4 separate regions of the Mus musculus genome follow, and regions 2, 3 and 4 are each reported to be linked to region 1. Evidence: microRNA targets listed by miRTarBase, many of them from high-throughput screens and not tested one by one. Region 1 holds a microRNA gene; each other region holds the end of a gene's coding sequence.
Evidence for each region. The annotated mature microRNA mmu-miR-1199-5p reads UCUGAGUCCCGGUCGCGCGG and lies in region 1 at 1,384-1,403, shown strand. An mRNA with a match to its seed (bases 2 to 7 or 8) in the 3' UTR can be bound and repressed. Matches are read on the target gene's strand: a 7mer-m8 pairs with bases 2 to 8, a 7mer-A1 pairs with bases 2 to 7 and ends in A, and an 8mer does both.

Region 2: the mRNA of Mrpl35 is a reported target of mmu-miR-1199-5p. Seed matches in the 3' UTR shown: 7mer-A1 at 2,184-2,190 and 7mer-A1 at 1,628-1,634.
Region 3: miRTarBase lists Mmachc as a target of mmu-miR-1199-5p. Seed matches in the 3' UTR shown: 7mer-A1 at 3,221-3,227.
Region 4: miRTarBase lists Ubac1 as a target of mmu-miR-1199-5p. Seed matches in the 3' UTR shown: 7mer-A1 at 2,960-2,966 and 7mer-A1 at 1,598-1,604.

What each region holds. Positions count from the first base shown.
Region 1 is chr8:84,008,932-84,012,996 of GRCm38, reverse strand. It overlaps Mir1199 (microRNA 1199), which reads left to right and starts at 1,364; the gene lies at 1,364-1,482. It overlaps Misp3 (MISP family member 3), which reads left to right and starts at 1,277. Exons shown (of 3, transcript NM_001291292.1): 1 at 1,277-1,856; 2 at 2,225-2,286; 3 at 2,505-2,769. The coding sequence starts at 1,313. The coding sequence ends at 2,519.
Region 2 is chr6:71,812,429-71,816,481 of GRCm38, forward strand. Mrpl35 (mitochondrial ribosomal protein L35) reads right to left here. Exons shown (of 4, transcript NM_025430.3): 4 at 569-3,859. The coding sequence ends at 3,671. Among named protein-coding and RNA genes, the nearest start is that of Mrpl35, 9.3 kb to the right of the region's middle.
Region 3 is chr4:116,699,792-116,703,844 of GRCm38, forward strand. It overlaps Mmachc (methylmalonic aciduria cblC type, with homocystinuria), which reads right to left. Exons shown (of 4, transcript NM_025962.3): 4 at 2,643-4,053. The coding sequence ends at 3,666. It overlaps Prdx1 (peroxiredoxin 1), which reads left to right. Exons shown (of 6, transcript NM_011034.4): 6 at 1-209. Among named protein-coding and RNA genes, the nearest start is that of Mmachc, 6.6 kb to the right of the region's middle.
Region 4 is chr2:25,995,412-25,999,464 of GRCm38, forward strand. Ubac1 (ubiquitin associated domain containing 1) reads right to left here. Exons shown (of 10, transcript NM_133835.2): 10 at 1,547-3,656. The coding sequence ends at 3,541. Among named protein-coding and RNA genes, the nearest start is that of Camsap1, 14 kb to the left of the region's middle.

The DNA.
Region 1 (4,065 bases):
AGACAAAGGTCGCTACTGCCTCCCGCTAACCCGGTGGCTCCTCTGCCCCATCTTGGGCCTCCTGGGCAAACTGGTCCAAGCTGACCGCCTTCCAGCCACAATTGCTCGGCTGAGGCCCGGAAGTCCTGTAATGTCTGTGCCCTCAAACACCGCTCATTCTAGCTGGACACTTGGCTGCCAATGCCTTGCGGGCTTTTCTGGAAGGTGGGGGTGGGGAATCTGCCCCAGGGTTTTGAGTGGCGGCAGCGCCGCTGCAAACCAGACAGAGCTGAGCAGCCCCGGGTAGCAGCAGCACCCAGTGCGGCGGCCCCGGGCGACCCTCGGGCTGGACTCGAGCTGTGTTGCCTCAGCGATCAGTGTGCAGAGAAGGCCCGGAGATCACGGGATAGGGGGCGGGGGGAAGGAGAGTGGTGTCGCTGGCCGCAGGCTGGCACTTGCTGACCTAGACTAGTGAGGTCAGCGAAAGACGACCGGGGAAACACTCTGTAAGGAGGCCGTGGTTCAGCGATCAGCGCGGCGCTCCGCTAGAGGTCAGGTCTCCGGAAAGTGATGAAAAAAAAAAAAAAAAAAAAAAAAGACCCCAGAATGCCAGCGTGGTACCAGAGGGAAAGGGCGACACATACCCCCTGGGTAGTGAGTTCAGGGAAGCCCTTTCCGAAGAAGCCACCCCTTCAGTCAACCCGTGTGTTCAGGTGGCGGGAATCCGGAGAGCAGTGGAGGCGCCCTGGCCCATAGGGCGGGTCCAGGGCCACTCGAATCCAGCTGGCAGGTGACGGGGGCGGTGCCCAGTCCTGCCCCCAGGGGATGTTCCTGGAGGCCAGAGGCGGGTCAAAGAAGAGTGCTGGCGACGCCTATGAACCTCGGGCGGCGGCTGTAACTACAGGTACTGCACAGGGCACCGTGTCCTACCTATTTGGGCATCTCAATTCGGCTCTGAGAACTAAAATTTTCAAAGGGCGCCTAACTCCAAACATCCATGTCCTCGGGTGTCCGAGAGTGGAGTCCTGGGGTCGCCTGAAGGCTACGTGTTCCGGGAGCCGCAGAGCCAGGGCACCGAGGGCTGCTGGGGGAGGCAGTGAGGTCCTGGAAACCTCTGGAGAGGAGCACTTGCAGACTCTGGAGCCAGAGAGCCAGGTCCCGCAGGTGCCAGTTGAGCACCGGACCGAGCGCCCGGGCGGTCCACAGCTGGGCCGCCTGGCACTAGTATAACGGAGGTACTGGGGCAGTTGTGCCCCTGTCTCGGCTCAGAGGCCTCCAGGTGTGTTTTCTACCGAAGCCCGCGGCATCCAAACCGGCGCCGGCGGAATTGCAGATGGAGACGCCCATCCAGCGCGAAATCCGCCGCAGCTGCGAGCGGGAGGAAAGCCTGCGCCGGAGCCGGGGTCTGAGTCCCGGTCGCGCGGGCGAGGAACTCATTGAGTTGCGCGTGCGGCCGGTGCTCAGTCGGCCCGGCTCCGGTACTCCGCTGCCGCGCGCCCTGGAGCGCGCTCGGGCGGGCGCGAAGATGCAACGGGACATCGAACGCGAGGCTCACAGGCAGGCGGCGCTGGCGAGCCCCGCGGTTCCGGAGCCTAGCGCCCGGCGGCGGCCGCAGCCGCTGGACGAACTCAAGCGCTTCTTTGAGGCTGCGGCGGAGGACGGCGCTGGCTTGCAGAGGCAGCCAGAGACCGGAGGCCGGCTGCACCCCGCCGTTCAGGACGGCTGTCCGGTACTGGGGCAGTTGCCACCGCTCGTTGCCCCGTCACTGCTGGAGCAGGAGGTGCGACGAGTGCGCGAGCGCGAGCGGGAGCTGCAGTTGCAGCGGCGCAGCATCTACGGCGACGCCGAGGTCCAGGAGCCAGCGCCGAGCCTCACCCGTAAGCGGTCCCCCTGGGCCCTAGAGCTCCAGCTGTCTCCACCTCCAGTGATCATTCATCTGTAGGCTTGCAGACCCTTAACTATTCTCCTGGGGGTTCACCTTCTTTTCTTCACTCCCACTCCTGGAGTGAGGATCCCCACATCCATCAGACCTTGGAACCTTGACTTCTGGCGTTCTCGGGTCCTCTGTAGTACTCGGGTGCCTCTCTACATTGAGTTTGCCTCATTCCTGTTCCTGGGTCCTCAGAACTGGGTGGAGGCCTTCATGGGGAAGAGGGGTGCACACCTGTATGTATATAAGGGGTGCGGCCATCCTCCAGCTGGCAAGAGGAGGGGCAGTCGCGGCTGAGTGTTCCTTCCCCCACAGCGAGCAGGGGAGATGGAAAATTGTCGGTGATCTGGCCTCCGCGGAGACGGGCCTCTGAGAAGGTGGGAGACTCCCTTTCCGATGCTTGTCGGTCTCCCAGCCCTCCCTGCAGCACCTGGGCACTGGGGTGGAGGGAGAAGGTGCCTCTTGGTCCCCTGGAGCGCCACTCTAACCCAAACTCAAAAGTCCTAGACGCGATCCAGAGAGTGAAGAGGAGGTGGAGGCCTAGAGGCCAAACTTCTCCCTGAGGGTGTTCTTTCTCTTCCCCTTTTCCTTCTAGGAGCGCAGACCCTGAGGTCTATGAAGGTTGGGACCTGCGGACAGAAGTAACATACCCTTTGGAGAACCAGGGTAGGGTTACTCTCCAGATCAGCAGAAGGCCTAGAGAGGGAAGGGCTAGCTTTCTTTAATGGCAACTTGAAATCCAGCCCATCTTTGATACTGACTATGGAATTAACCACCTTTCTCCATAAAATTCTCTAGTCTTCCTTGGAAACCCTGCAAAACCTATGAGTGAAACATAAAATAAACTCCTCCTCCCTTTACCTGGGCTTCAGTGCAAGCTATTTTCTACTGGGTCCTCCTTAGTCTGGGTGGGCGGAGGCTGGCAGGTGAAGAACGTTTGGAAAAGCCACCCAAGGATCCCGCCGGAATGTTGGAATTCAAAACGCGCTCTGGTCTCCTTGTTCTGGACTGACTGCGGACCCGGGCTTGGAGGCCAGGGCCCTACTGCCCCCTGGTGGTGAGAACGCAAAATGTTGCTCACCGGCCCACAGACTCCACTCTGGTATCCAGATGTCAGTTTTTATAGGCACCAAAACCATTCTGTGTTCAGGGAGCTGCTAGACCGAGGTGCTATGAAGTTGTATTTCCTGCTCTAGGGATATAAACAATAGTGTAAACATACTAGGGGTGGCTGGAGGGATGGTTTAGGGTAAGGAGTGCTTGCTATTCTTGCAAATGACCCGAGTTCAGTTCCGGGCATCTACATGGGAGGCTCACAACTGCTTATGTCCAGGAGAGCCATTGTCCACTTCTCTCCTCCAGGAAAATCTCAACATACATGGCACCCATTCGCACAAAATGCACACATATTCACATAAATTGAAATAAGGATAATTTTAAAAAAAGAAATACCAATGGTGGTGTTGAAGGATCAAGGACCTGGCAAGTGTTCTGGTGACCATCTTTGCTTGTTTCTTTTAAAACCGTGGCTTAAAAAAAAAAAAAAAAAGATAGAAAAAAGGCCGGGCGTGGTGGCGCACGCCTTTAATCCCAGCACTCGGGAGGCAGAGGCAGGTGGATTTCTGAGTTCGAGGCCAGCCTGGTCTACAAAGTGAGTTCCAGAACAGCCAGGGCTATAAAGAGAAACCCTGTCTCGAAAAACCAAAAAAAAAAAAAAAAAAAGATAAAACCGTGGCTTCGTATATCCCATATTGGCCTGAAATTCCCTTTGTGGTCGAGGGTGACCTAGAAAGTTTTAAAAGATTTATTTTTTGTATTCATGCTGTATGTATAAGTGTTTTGTTGGCTTGTATGTGTGTGTGTGCCTGTGTGTATGTGTGTGTGCCTGTGTGTATATGTGTGTGCCTATGTGTATGTGTGGGCCTGCAGAGGTGAGAAGAGAGTCAGATCCCTTGGAACTAGAGTTCCATGTGAGTGCTGAGAACTGAACCATGATCCTCCTAAAGTACTCTTAGCTGCCAAGCAACCTCTCTTTATTTTTAATTATAGGTGTGTGTTTGTTGGGGTATGTACATGAGAGTGCAGATATACAGATGCCCTCAGAGTCCAGAGAGACTGTTAGATCCCCCTAGAGCTGGAGCTACAGACAGCTGTGA
Region 2 (4,053 bases), not on the chromosome of region 1:
GGTGGGCAGTTTTATTTGTATGGGCAGAACTGGGTAGCAGTTTTCTTCCTGAGTTTTTCTTCACTTGCAGATGGGGGATTGCCTATGCAGGTTAGAACAGGCTTGTGTATGTGCAGAGCCACTGTGGATGGTAAAAATGCCCATAGCACTTCTGCATCCCTTGCCTTGAAACTATGAGCACCAGGCACCAGGGCCATCGCTATCATAGTGTCATAGAGAATGCACAAGGTACTGGGTTCTGTCTCCAGCACTGCATAAACAGGATGTGATATAACATGACTTTCATCCATCCATCCCAGCATCCAGAGGTAGGGACAAGAGGATCAGAAATTCAAGGTCATCCTCAGTTACACATCAATTTGAGGCCAGCTGGGGCTAATTGAGACTCTATCTCAAAAACCAACCAACCAACAGTAAGGCAGCAGGCTCACTCTAGCCTCACTGGGAGGTCACAAAGACCTTCAAGTGTGGTCGGTTCTCTTGTTTTTACAGTACACAGACTAGAAACTAAAGCAGCAGATTCAGAGGGCAGAAAACAGGAAGAAGAGATGGGAAGAAAGACTAGAAATCCATTCATTCATTACTCATTTACTAAGCCAGGGTTATGCACCAACAGAGTTGACAGGTAGAGAGCAAAGTCACACAACTCAGACTTGAACGGGTAGAGTATTTACTACTAGTGTCAGATCACAGTCATTTGTTGATCAAGATATGAGTATCCTATGTTGTTAGAAAATCAAAGGAAGTACACAAGATTCCAAAGAGTTAGACAGGGGATCTGGGATGCATTAGCTATATTTTAGAGTAATTTATTTCAGCTTCTATAAGCTTTAGTGCCTTCAATTTATATCAGGGATAAATGATAGCTCGTGTATAAGATTGTATAAGGTTGGCATGAGGTGCAGCAGAGTTTTGCAGATTTGCTTAAATATGACAAGTGTTCAATAAATTACATGTAAATAAACAGTTATGCATACACTTGAACATCATTTAGGCAGGCTCTAAAGCAAACTGCTTTGTTGTCAAACTAAAAACTTGGCTTTGATGAAAGGCTCCCCTACCCACATACAAAAGCTGTATGTATGAAGAAGTTCCCTTTCCATCCGAGGTGTGCCTGCAGCCCTTCTACTTCAGCCTGTGGCCGCTGTCCTCTGCCTAGCCTGTCCTTGGCTACAGGGGAAGCCAAGGCACTGAGGCCATGTAACAGAGATCTGAACCATCCATGTCGACTCTAGAAAAGTCTAAGGCTGTGCAGTGTCTCCCTCCTTAGCTTCAGCACAGTGCCACAGATGTGCGGGAAGCAGGAACTGTGCAGGCGAGGAACCTCGAAAGCCTCACAGCACTCAGCTTCTGCCGCCTCAGGGGTGAGCACAGCACGAGCCACCGGGGCAGAGCCATTGGTGTATGAGGTGCTCAAGTCACACGCCTGCTCTCTATCACCTGCCCCCACACATACACACATACACACATATGGGGTTTTACGACATTCTACATCCCTCTCCATTTAATGAAGAACTGGCTTCAAATGGATAAATTAAAAAAAAATTAAAAAAAAAACAAACCTAAGCTGGGCAGTGGTGGCACACGCCTTTAATCCCAGCACTCGGGAGGCAGAGGCAGGCGGATTTCTGAGTTCGAAGCCAGCCTGGTCTACAAAGTGAGTTCCAGGACAGCCAGGGCTACACAGAGAAACCCTGTCTCGAAAAACAAAACAAAACAAAACAAAGCAAAACAAAACAAAACAAAACAAAAACTGAATGGTCCTCAAAGTCCTGGCCTACCTGCCATCAAAACACCAACTGATTGCCTTATTCTACTAAATGGGGGACTTCATGTTATCATCAATGGATTTCAAACAGTCATTCATCCTTAATAGAATTTTCAATGAGGCAGGCTGCTTTGTTTGGAAATGCTTCCAGATGGTTCTGATGGGAGAGCAGAGAGTCACTCTCTCGGCCTGCAGCATCAATTCTGACTCTCTGTAAACCACGTGTAACTTTTGCATCTTTCTCCATCTGACTACTAACAGGCCCGACCTGACCCTACTTAGCTTCTGAGATCAGACAAAGTCATGTGCATTCAGGATGGAATGGCCAGACTCTTTTCTAAAATGAATGATACTAGCTGGGCGTGGTGGCCCACGCCTTTAATCCCAGCACTCAGGAGGCAGAGGCAGGCTGATTTCTGAGTTCGAGGCCAGCCTGGTCTACAAAGAGTTCCAGGACAGCCAGAGAAACCCTGTCTTGAAAAAACAAACAAACAAACAAACAAAAAGATAAAATGAATGATACTGTTGCCTTCTGAGCACAGCTGACATCAGTCTCATTAAATGACAGGCAACTTTCTCCCTTAGTTTCCACCCTGCGTTTTAGAGAATTCTGGAAAAAAAAAGCTGATCTTTACCAATGAAAATAAGAAATCTTAAGTGGATAAACTTTTTAAAAATTCAGTGCCTTTGAAAAATTGGGCAGAGGCCTGGAGAGACAGTTCAGCATTTAAGAACTGGCTGTTCTTGTAGAGGGCCCAGGTTCAATTCCCAGCACCAACATGGTGGCTCACAACCATCTGTAATTCCAATGCCAGTAGACCCAACAACTTTCCTCTGGCCTTCAAGGGCACATACACACATGCAGACAAAATACTCATATGTAAAAAATAAAAAGTAAAGTAGAAAAGAAAAACTGGGCAAAAGAGTTTATTATATAGCTATGTATTTCAAGAAGGGTATTTGGGAAGGTGATTTATTTTTATGAAAAGTATCCTGTTACAATAAAATTAGTAATAACTGTCATAAATACAAAGAACCCAGGACACAAGATGAAAGTGCCCTGCTACTCTATGTACCTCTAAGGAAAACAGCTCACACCTACCTTTTTACTCCATATGAACCTACTGATACAACTAAGAGAGCCTGGGTGGAGTCCTAGCCACAAACAGATAAGCTCTACATTGCATGATGGCATTGATTCAGACTTACGAGGAAAAGGCAGGATGGCCCAATGAGAGTTCCCTGGCAATTAAGAGAGAAGAGATGACAAGAGTTGAGGGTTGTAATGTTAAAGGGAACCCAAAGGTTCAGGCTGAAGGGAGTCTGAGAGATAGAAACTTTACATAAACAAAAGCCAAGACTAAAGAGAGTGATGGTGAGTAGACACACACACACACACACACACCACACACTCTCACAGTAGAACCAAGGCATAAAGTCCCACCATCTCTTGCTTCATCCAATTCCTGCCCTCCCCAAAGCTGGGGCAGAGAGTTACAGGTAGGAGACAGTGAGGAGGTTCCTGAGTTCCTAGGTATTTATTTTTTAAACACAGCATGTGTCATATTGGGAATAGGCATGTAAGATGTCTGTTTAGCATGTGCAAAAACCTGGATACCATCTCAATTCCACACAAAGGCCCACTGTTGAGCGTCTTTTCGTGTTTTTCCTCATCCAAGATTCCAGAAATAAGGAAAGCCATTACCAGTTTTTTGAAATAATGCACAATAAATTTAACTTTTAGTTCTATGACCAACTCTGGGAATGTTTAATGCACAATGGTGGTAATCTAAGCTTGCCGATCAGCTGGTACAGTTTACAGTTTAACGCATACTCACTTTGCAAGGGCATTATGTACACAAAGACCCACATTCCATAGCTGGGAACTATGATAGCTCTGAACTATACTCGTAGGTTTGTTCGATCGTGGTACATCTGGTAAGGATCGCCAGCGTACCAGTTGCGCCTCTTCCAGAAAGATGTCGTCATTTTATCCAGGAGTTTACTCTGGGTCTTGCTGCAGAACACAAATTCCCTCAAGCGCTTCTTTCTTGCAGTTGACTTTTTCCATAATTTTTTCTTATAGCCAGCCTATGAGATAATGTTCCAAAGACATTTTAAAACTTGCAAAGGCAGCAGCAGATGCTCCATAATTTATGGTATATAGGCCCAAAGAGCAAAGCCAGACCTACAGAGATTGGGTTGTTTCTCTTTGCAATAAGTAACAGGTTAAAAAGCATGTGTAGAAGAGGATTAATAATTTAACACTTTAGAAAGATTATTTA
Region 3 (4,053 bases), not on the chromosome of region 1:
GTATATGTGAGGCTAGTAAGCTCTCAGGATCTACTTTTCTAGTGCTGGTTTTATAAGCATGGATTACCATAGTTGGCCTTTTGTTTTTCGAGACAGGGTTTCTCTGTGTAACAGCCCTGGCTGTCCTGGAACTCTGTAGACTAGGCTGGCCTCTGAAAGATCTACCTGCCTATTTAATCTGCCAGGAATTAAAAGTGTGTGCCACCACTGTCTGCTTCATGCCTAGCTTTTTTTTTTTTTTTTAAATGGGAGTTCCATGGAGTAAATTGCTTCCTCACAAGCATGTCACAGCTGAACTATCTCCAAAGCCCCTGTTTTTCTTAGAAAATTGGGTTTGAAAGGTTGAAAGGTGCCTCAGGTCTGGAGACAAAGCTTTTGGTAGAGTGCTTGCCTGGTATTCTGTTTTACTTGTTGCTGAACACAGCAACTAAAAAGTATCTGGCTTATACTTCCTGGTCACAGTCATACCTGAGGTAAAGTCAGGGTAGGACTTCAAGGAGGAACTGAAGCAGAAAATGTCCCACAGACCACTCTAATCTTGGAAATGTTTAAATTGAGGTTTCTTCTCCTGGGTGAATGAATAAATGAAAAAAAAATACTGTCAAGTTGACAGAAGTTAACTATTACGTTTAGTGTGCACAAGCCTTGTTATAACCCTATTGCCATGTAAACAAGGTGTGATAGTACACACCTGTAATCTCAGTACTAGTGAACTGAAGGCAAAAGGATCAGAGGTTCACCTGTGTGATGCATTAGGCCTGGTCTTTAAAGGGAAAAAAAGGCTTCAGTACACATACCCACACAGAAGAAAGTTTTTAGTTTAACAATATTTTAGATTGAAAAGCAGACCCAAGCCCTGCTGTCCTCTCAGCCATTGCACTGCAGTTCATGTTTGCTGGGTTATAGGCAAGTCTGGGAAAGATTTATTTGAGCTGTTTAGTGCTGGGAGGGTTGCATGGAACAGAATTTTTGCTTCTTAGGATAAATGCCTAGTGTCTGTCTGCTCTGCAAAATAAATAGGACTTGGCCAATAAGAAGTTCATTGGGTATCTTAGAGTTTTATTGCTGTTAAGAGACTCTGACCATGGCAACTCTAAAAAAGGAGAACATTTAATTGGGGCTGGCTTATAGTCATTATTTAGTCCATTATGGTGAGAAACATGGCACAGTACAGGAAGATATGGTGCTGGCTAAGGAGTTGTGAGTTCTAAGCAGAAAAAGATGTGTGTGCCACACTGGGTGTGGTTTGAGTATAGGACACCTCAAAGCCTGTTCCCACAGTGACACTTCACACCAAGACCACACTTACTGACAGTGCAATTACCTATGGCCGAGCAGTCAAAAACAGTCTAGGGACTGTGCCTACTCAAACCACCACATTAAAGATACTTGCCACATGGTGGAAGAAGAGACAATTGACTCCTTCCTACAAGTTGTCCTCTGACTTCATAAATGCACTGTGATATGCCTCTCTCCCACAAATATGAATGTAATCTAGGAGGAAAAAGGAATGACCACTGGGCCTGTCAAGTTTTAATCTCATAGATGAGTGCTAGATTAGGCTACATGGTAACACTTCGCTTGTTTGTAGACCAGAAGAATGTGTCTGACCTTTTGGGGCTGGAATGAGAAGCAGTTGTGAGCCACCTGATGAGGCAGTCTTAATTGAACTGGGTGCTTACTGAGCTTTGCTGGCCAATAAGCTCCAATAATTGTCCCCTTGTTCCCAGCAACCAAAGTATGGAACATTGGAGTTCTGGGCAGGGCACAGCAAAGTGCTTGAAAAAGTTATTAGGGCTTCTTTTTCCCTTTTGCCACTACATTTTTATATCACGGAATAAGTAACACTAACCTTGGAAATGTTACACCTACCAGTTTTCAGGATGCATTTTTAAGATTTACTATATACATGTTATATACATGTCATGTATACACATGGTCTCCCCGCACATATACCTGCGGGCCAGAAGACAGCACCAGGTCACATCATGTGATTGCTGGGAATCACTCAGGACTTCTACAAGAGTATCCAGTGCCCTTAACCTCTCTCCTTCCTGGGTGTAATTTCTTTCTTTCTTTTTTTTTTTTTTTAATAATTTATTTTAGTTTTTATTAGATATTTTTTTTCCATTTTTTATTAGGTATTTAACTCATTTACATTTCCAATGCTATACCAAAAGTCTCCCATATCCACCCACCCCCACTCCCCTGCCCACCCACTCCCCCTTTTTGGCCCTGGTGTTCCCCTGTACTGGGGCATATAAAGTTTGCAAGTCCAATGGGCCTCTCTTTCCAGTGATGGCCGACTAGGCCATCTTTTGATATATATGCAGCTAGAGTCAAGAGCTCCGGGGTACTGGTTAGTTCATAATGTTGTTCCACCTATAGGGTTGCAGATCCCTTAATACCCTCAGTAGTTTGCTTCTCCCTCCCTGTTGCAGGGTTTGGAGGGCGGGGGTGGATTCCTGTTCAAGGAAACATGATTGAGTCTGAGACTGGTCTGTCTCCTGTTTTAGTTTTCAACAAGTAAAAACAGCACATTACAATTTACCAACTAACCTCCCTGGACCCTGGGAGTGAAATTTGAAATATCAGAATTGGGAAACTATCTCTGGAATCAACAAACAGGCAAACAAAGTTGGTGGCTTTGGATATGATTGTATTCAACTACTTGTATTTTAGCTGTGATGAGAGAATATTCCTTTCTGATCCTGTAAAGTCAGGAAGTTTCTTCTGGATTCTTGGTTAGGGTTGACAAAATAATCCTATGACATCATGTCCTTCCAACATTCCAGAATTCAAAGTACATCTATTTGAGCATAAGTATAAGATTGCCTGAGCCTTTAGTAATAGCACACTGTAGGTCGGGGCAGTTTCAATGTAGTTTACTTAAATATTAATTCAGCATAGCTCAATGTGGTGGGTACCCCTAGGAGCTGCTAAATCTGTGATTCTCAGCCCCCAGGGGTTGTTGAACAACCCTTTCACTGGATTCCCTAAGACAATTGATTCATAACTAGCAAAATTATTAGGTAGCAACAAAAATAATTTTATGGTTGCGGTCACTACAACATGAGGAACTGCATTAAATGATAGCAGCTTTAGGAACGAACAGTGAGAACCATGGTTCTTAAATAGTATCTTAAGAGTACTACACAAAGCCGGGCTTGGTAGTGCACGCCTTTAATCCCAGCACTCGGGAGGCAGAGGCAGGTGGATTTCTGAGTTTGAGGCCAGCCTGGTCAACAGAGTGAGTTCCAGGACAGCCAGGGCTACACAGAGAAACCCTGTCTTGAAAAAACAAAAAACAAAAACAAAAAAATAGTAATGGGCATGAGTCTAATATTTGAAGTCAACTGCTGATTTTTGAGTCTGCCTTGGCATATGATTTATCTTGACCAATGTAAATTGAGTCTTGACTGTCTGAAGCACTATTATCAGGAAATCCTACCTAAAATAAAATGGTTTTTCCACAGTGCAAAAAATCAGCACTCTGGAGAAGACAGAGGCAGATGGATCTCTCTTAGCTTGAGGCCAACCTGGTCTGAGCTACATAGAGGAACCTTGTCTCAAAAAAACTAAAAAAGGAGAAAGTGTTTTTTTCAAAACCCAAATCCTACTTAAAATAAATCTACTATGAGTGGGATCCTGAAGGGGAAAAGTTATCAAGGGCCTGGGGATACAGGTGGTGAGACACTTGGACTCAGCCAGCTTCGAGCTCTCCTGGAATTCTGAGGTTTAGTAAGCAAGGAAAGAGGAAGCTCAGATGTAGTGCTAGGGTGTTCTGAGGGTTGGGCTAAGCCTAATAGGGCCAAGCGTTGGGCAGGTGGGGTGGAAAAGTAGATCTTCTGTTCTTCGGAGTACCGTTCTTCAGGAGTCACAGCATCACGGTAAGTCCAGTCCCGCCAATGGAAATTGAAACCTTCAAGCAGAGTGATGCGGCCAGCTCTTGTAGGCACACAGTCAGGGGGCTTTCTGGGTGGCAAATTTGGCACTTCAATCCCTGGCAGCAACATAACCCCTCGGATGGCAAACCAGCCCCCAAATCGGGGG
Region 4 (4,053 bases), not on the chromosome of region 1:
GACAAGATCCCAAAGAACCAGTCCCAAAATCACCATGTTGTAGTCACAGGGTGTGCATGGACAACAAAGCATCCCAGGTAAAGATGGCAAGGGTCTAGCAAGGGTAGAAAGCCAACAGGTCAGCTGACAAAGGAGTATGTAGTTCATGTGTTGCTTCTGGGTACTATGTACACCTTCCCACACTTTCCCACACACCCTATTCCTGGCCCACAATCCACAGCTACCCTGAGAAATCTCTCTATATGACCAGCTCTTGAGTGTTGTATCCACTTCCTTAACTGCCCCTTGGCATGCATCTCAGACTATAGTCTAAGATATAGACTTAGTCTAAATGTGCAGAGTTCAACCCCAAATATACCTGGGAGTCTTAAGGCCAGTTAGAAACATGCCAGTTAGAAACATGCCATTCACGTATTTCACAATAAACCATTGGTCTCCTCAGCTCTCATTACAGCCATACTCAGGCCCAGTGTGAAGGTTTGGAAAGTAAACTCTGGGAACAGGATCTCTAGCTGCTGTAGGCCCCATGCTTGAAGCTACCTTCCAGCCATTCCATTAAGTTTTCTCACCACCCCTTCGGCCCACCAGGCCTGAATGTAGGATCTCAGCACAGGTCCTGCCCCCCAAGAGGGCTGTGGGCCATGGACCCCAAGGCCTTCCTATATCCACAAGAGCTCCCTTTTGTCCCCAGGGACAAGTGTCACCTGTGGATCTGCACAGAGACCTATTCACATTCCCTATTGGACACGGACATACAGAAGTTGAAATGACACACTACCCTGTGTTCAATAGAACGAATGTTCCAGGCCAACTGTTCTGTCAGGCTTCAATGTCACTGGACCTATGTCCATACCTCATGGCCAACAGATACAACTCAGAGGCACACAACCTACCCCAACTGGCTGAGAAGTCACTTGGTCATCAATAGCGTAAAGCAGGTCAAGGCACAGATGTCCTTCCTCTCTCTGCATCCCAGCTTTCATTGTAAAATGATAAATTCATGCTTTGCTAGTCATGAAACATCAGCCCTAAACAATGACTGCCATACAGTGTTCACCCAAAAGGCTCCACAGAGACTGTGTATTAAATATCAGGCAACACAGAGATGCTGTGCTCTCCCTGATGGCCAAAGCAGGAGTGGAAATTTGGCACTAAGGTAGTTACTCTCTGAGGCCCAAGAGCAGCCATGGTTACCAATACTATGGTTCTTCCCCGAACTCCACAGTGGCGCAGAGCTGGGGGGTGGGGGGTTGGTTCAGCAAGTAAAATTGCATGTGAGTCTGATGACCTGAGTTAGATACCTCACAAAGTATCCTCCAATCTTCATATATCATGGTAGCTCACACTCTCTCAAACACACCATAAGCAATTAAAGATTCTTTTTAATGTCTAAGAACTACAACCCAACTGAAACACTGTTCTATGCTTACTAGTGGTTGGAATTAAAGAAAGTACATTTGCAACCTCAGGCTAAAAGTGGGCCACAGAAGGCACACGCTAGCAGAGGAAACACAACTGTAAGAACAGCCAAAAGCAGTCAGGCAGTGGTGGCACACGGATTTAATTACAGCACTTAGGAGGCAAAGGCAGGTGAATTTCTGAGTTCAAGGCCAGCCTGGTCTACAGAGTGAGTTCCAGGACAGCCAGGGCTACATACACACACACACAAACCTGTCTTGAAAAACAAAACAAACAAAACATGAAAAAAACCCAAACAGCCAGAGCAGGAAATCTATTCTTTCCAAACGAAGACCCCTTTTCAGAGCCAGTTTGTGTTAGCTCCTTTATTACATGAACACAATGCTTGTCTCAGAGGATACTAGTGTTGCAGAACACACACACACCACACACACACAGATCCTGGACAAAAGACCAGCATCAGGACCTATCCCCAAGTACAGAACACTCCCCATGGCCTCCAGAGCCCATAGAGATGGTTCCTTGAAGTTCTGTGAAGATCTTTATTTTTGTTTGGATGTGTGTACAGAGGCTACAAGAGGAAATCGGCTTTCCTGGAGCTGGGGTTGGAGTCAGACAAGCGGTTGTGAGCCATCCAATGTGGATCCTGGGACTTAAACTTGAACAGCAAGTGGTCTTAAGTGACGAGTCATCTCTCCACCCTCCCTCGGAGATTCTGAACCATGACTCTTCAACGCACTAGGAAGACAGGCAGATCCCGTCATAGTCTTTGTTATATGTGTGCTTGCACACACATGCCAGAGTCAGTGTCTAATGTCTTCTATCACTTTCCAGCTTATCTTGTTAACCCCCCAGGATCGAAACTCCACTTACCATCTCCAAATGCTGGAATTACAGCTGTGTGCTGCCATGCCTGGCTTTTTACCTGGTGCTGGGATGTGAACTCAGGTCCCCTTGCTTGTACAGCGAACACTCCAGCCGCTGAGCTCCTTTTCCATGTTAGAGTCTTCTGGCTCAGCTCCAGCAGGGTGAGTGCCAGCCAAGGCTGTAGCTATTCCTATACCTCACCTATGCTGCAGCTTCTCAGACATGCTTAAACACACTCAAGAGCTAAATGCTTTTTACAGTAACCCTGAGCAGGGGTCACAGAAAGGGGACTAGATCATGAGCCAGCAAGATGAGTCAGAAGAGTGTTTGTTTTTTTAAGTCCTTGCTGCAGGAACCTGATGAGCTGGGCTTGATCCCCGGGACCATGGTGGAAGGAAAGAACCAACTCCTGAGTAGGGCAGGTGTGATCCCCACGTTTGTGTTCTGGCACAAGGTACACATGAGTACATGCACCTGTGAGTGTACACACACACACACACACACCCTGCTCCATCTGCTGTGGCTGGGGGGAAGGCCTGCTACTTGAAATGTCACAGCCCCAAACCCAACTTGAGCTGGGCTCAGAGGATTCAGGTTTCCAAGTGAAGAAGTAGCCATGAAAGCTGAGAGGTGGTGGCACGCGCCTTTAATCCCAGCGCTCAGGAGGCAGATTTCTGAGTTCAAGGGCAGCCTGGTTTACAGAGTGATTTTTAGGACATCCAGGGCTACACAGAGAAATAGTATCTAGAAAGAAGTGGCAATGACACCTGCTCTGGGCAGAGACAATGTGTACACGGCCTAGGGGATACATGTGATGTCCTTGCTGCCATGAAGTAACACAAGTAAAAATAGGAAAAGGGTTTATTTATTAAAGAAGCCATCTGTGAGTCAGTCTGGTTAAATTAGCACACTTGACATAACACTTTGGATCAGAACATGCCTTCTTTTAAATACATTGGGCTCCACAAGCAAACACCTAAGGGTCAATTCAAGTAGCACTTCAGGAGCCCAGCAGAGTATCTGGAGGGACGGGCAGCAATCATTCACCTTCCCAATGCAACAGCCACTTTCTGTAGACACCTGTCAGAAGCTAGGACTGCAACTTTCAAGCCATGTGGCAGAAGTTGATAAGCTGTTAGGTCTGGAAAGGAGAGTCCGAGAAGCTGTGGTCCAGGCAAGATCCCGGCTGAACCCTGTGCCCACTGCCTCACAGACTGCTGAGACTGCACAGCCAAGGAGCACAGTAGGTACCACCTACGTGCGATTCAGCGTCTGGAAGATCCTAGAGATCTGCAGCATGACCGGGCCCGTCTCTGGGTCGTTCATCCACTGGGTGCTGTTAAGCGGATTCTCCAGCATGTCTTCAAATGCTGTGGGAAGACGACAGAGCTGAGTGGTAGCACCCAACACCAACAAGCATACTGAGCCTTTCTCAATGGCCCTGACACTCACCCTTACGAGCCAACCATAGTGCCTGAGCTACTGACCAAAAAGACTTCAGAGGCTGTTGGCAGGGAAGCAGACTGCCTGTGAGATCACAGCACCCCCAACTCAGAGCCATCAGCAGGGTAAGGTGGTCAGCTGCCCATGCTTACATCTTTTACAGAGCAATGGACTGCCTGTGTGCTCACAGTATTCCAGATCACAGTCCACAAGTGGGGTAGTCAACAGCCTGGACTCATGGCATTCCAACTCTGGAAAGCTACCAGCAGACCCAAAAGTCAGGTTTGCAAATACCCCTTTCCACACACCACAGGAAACAGCCAT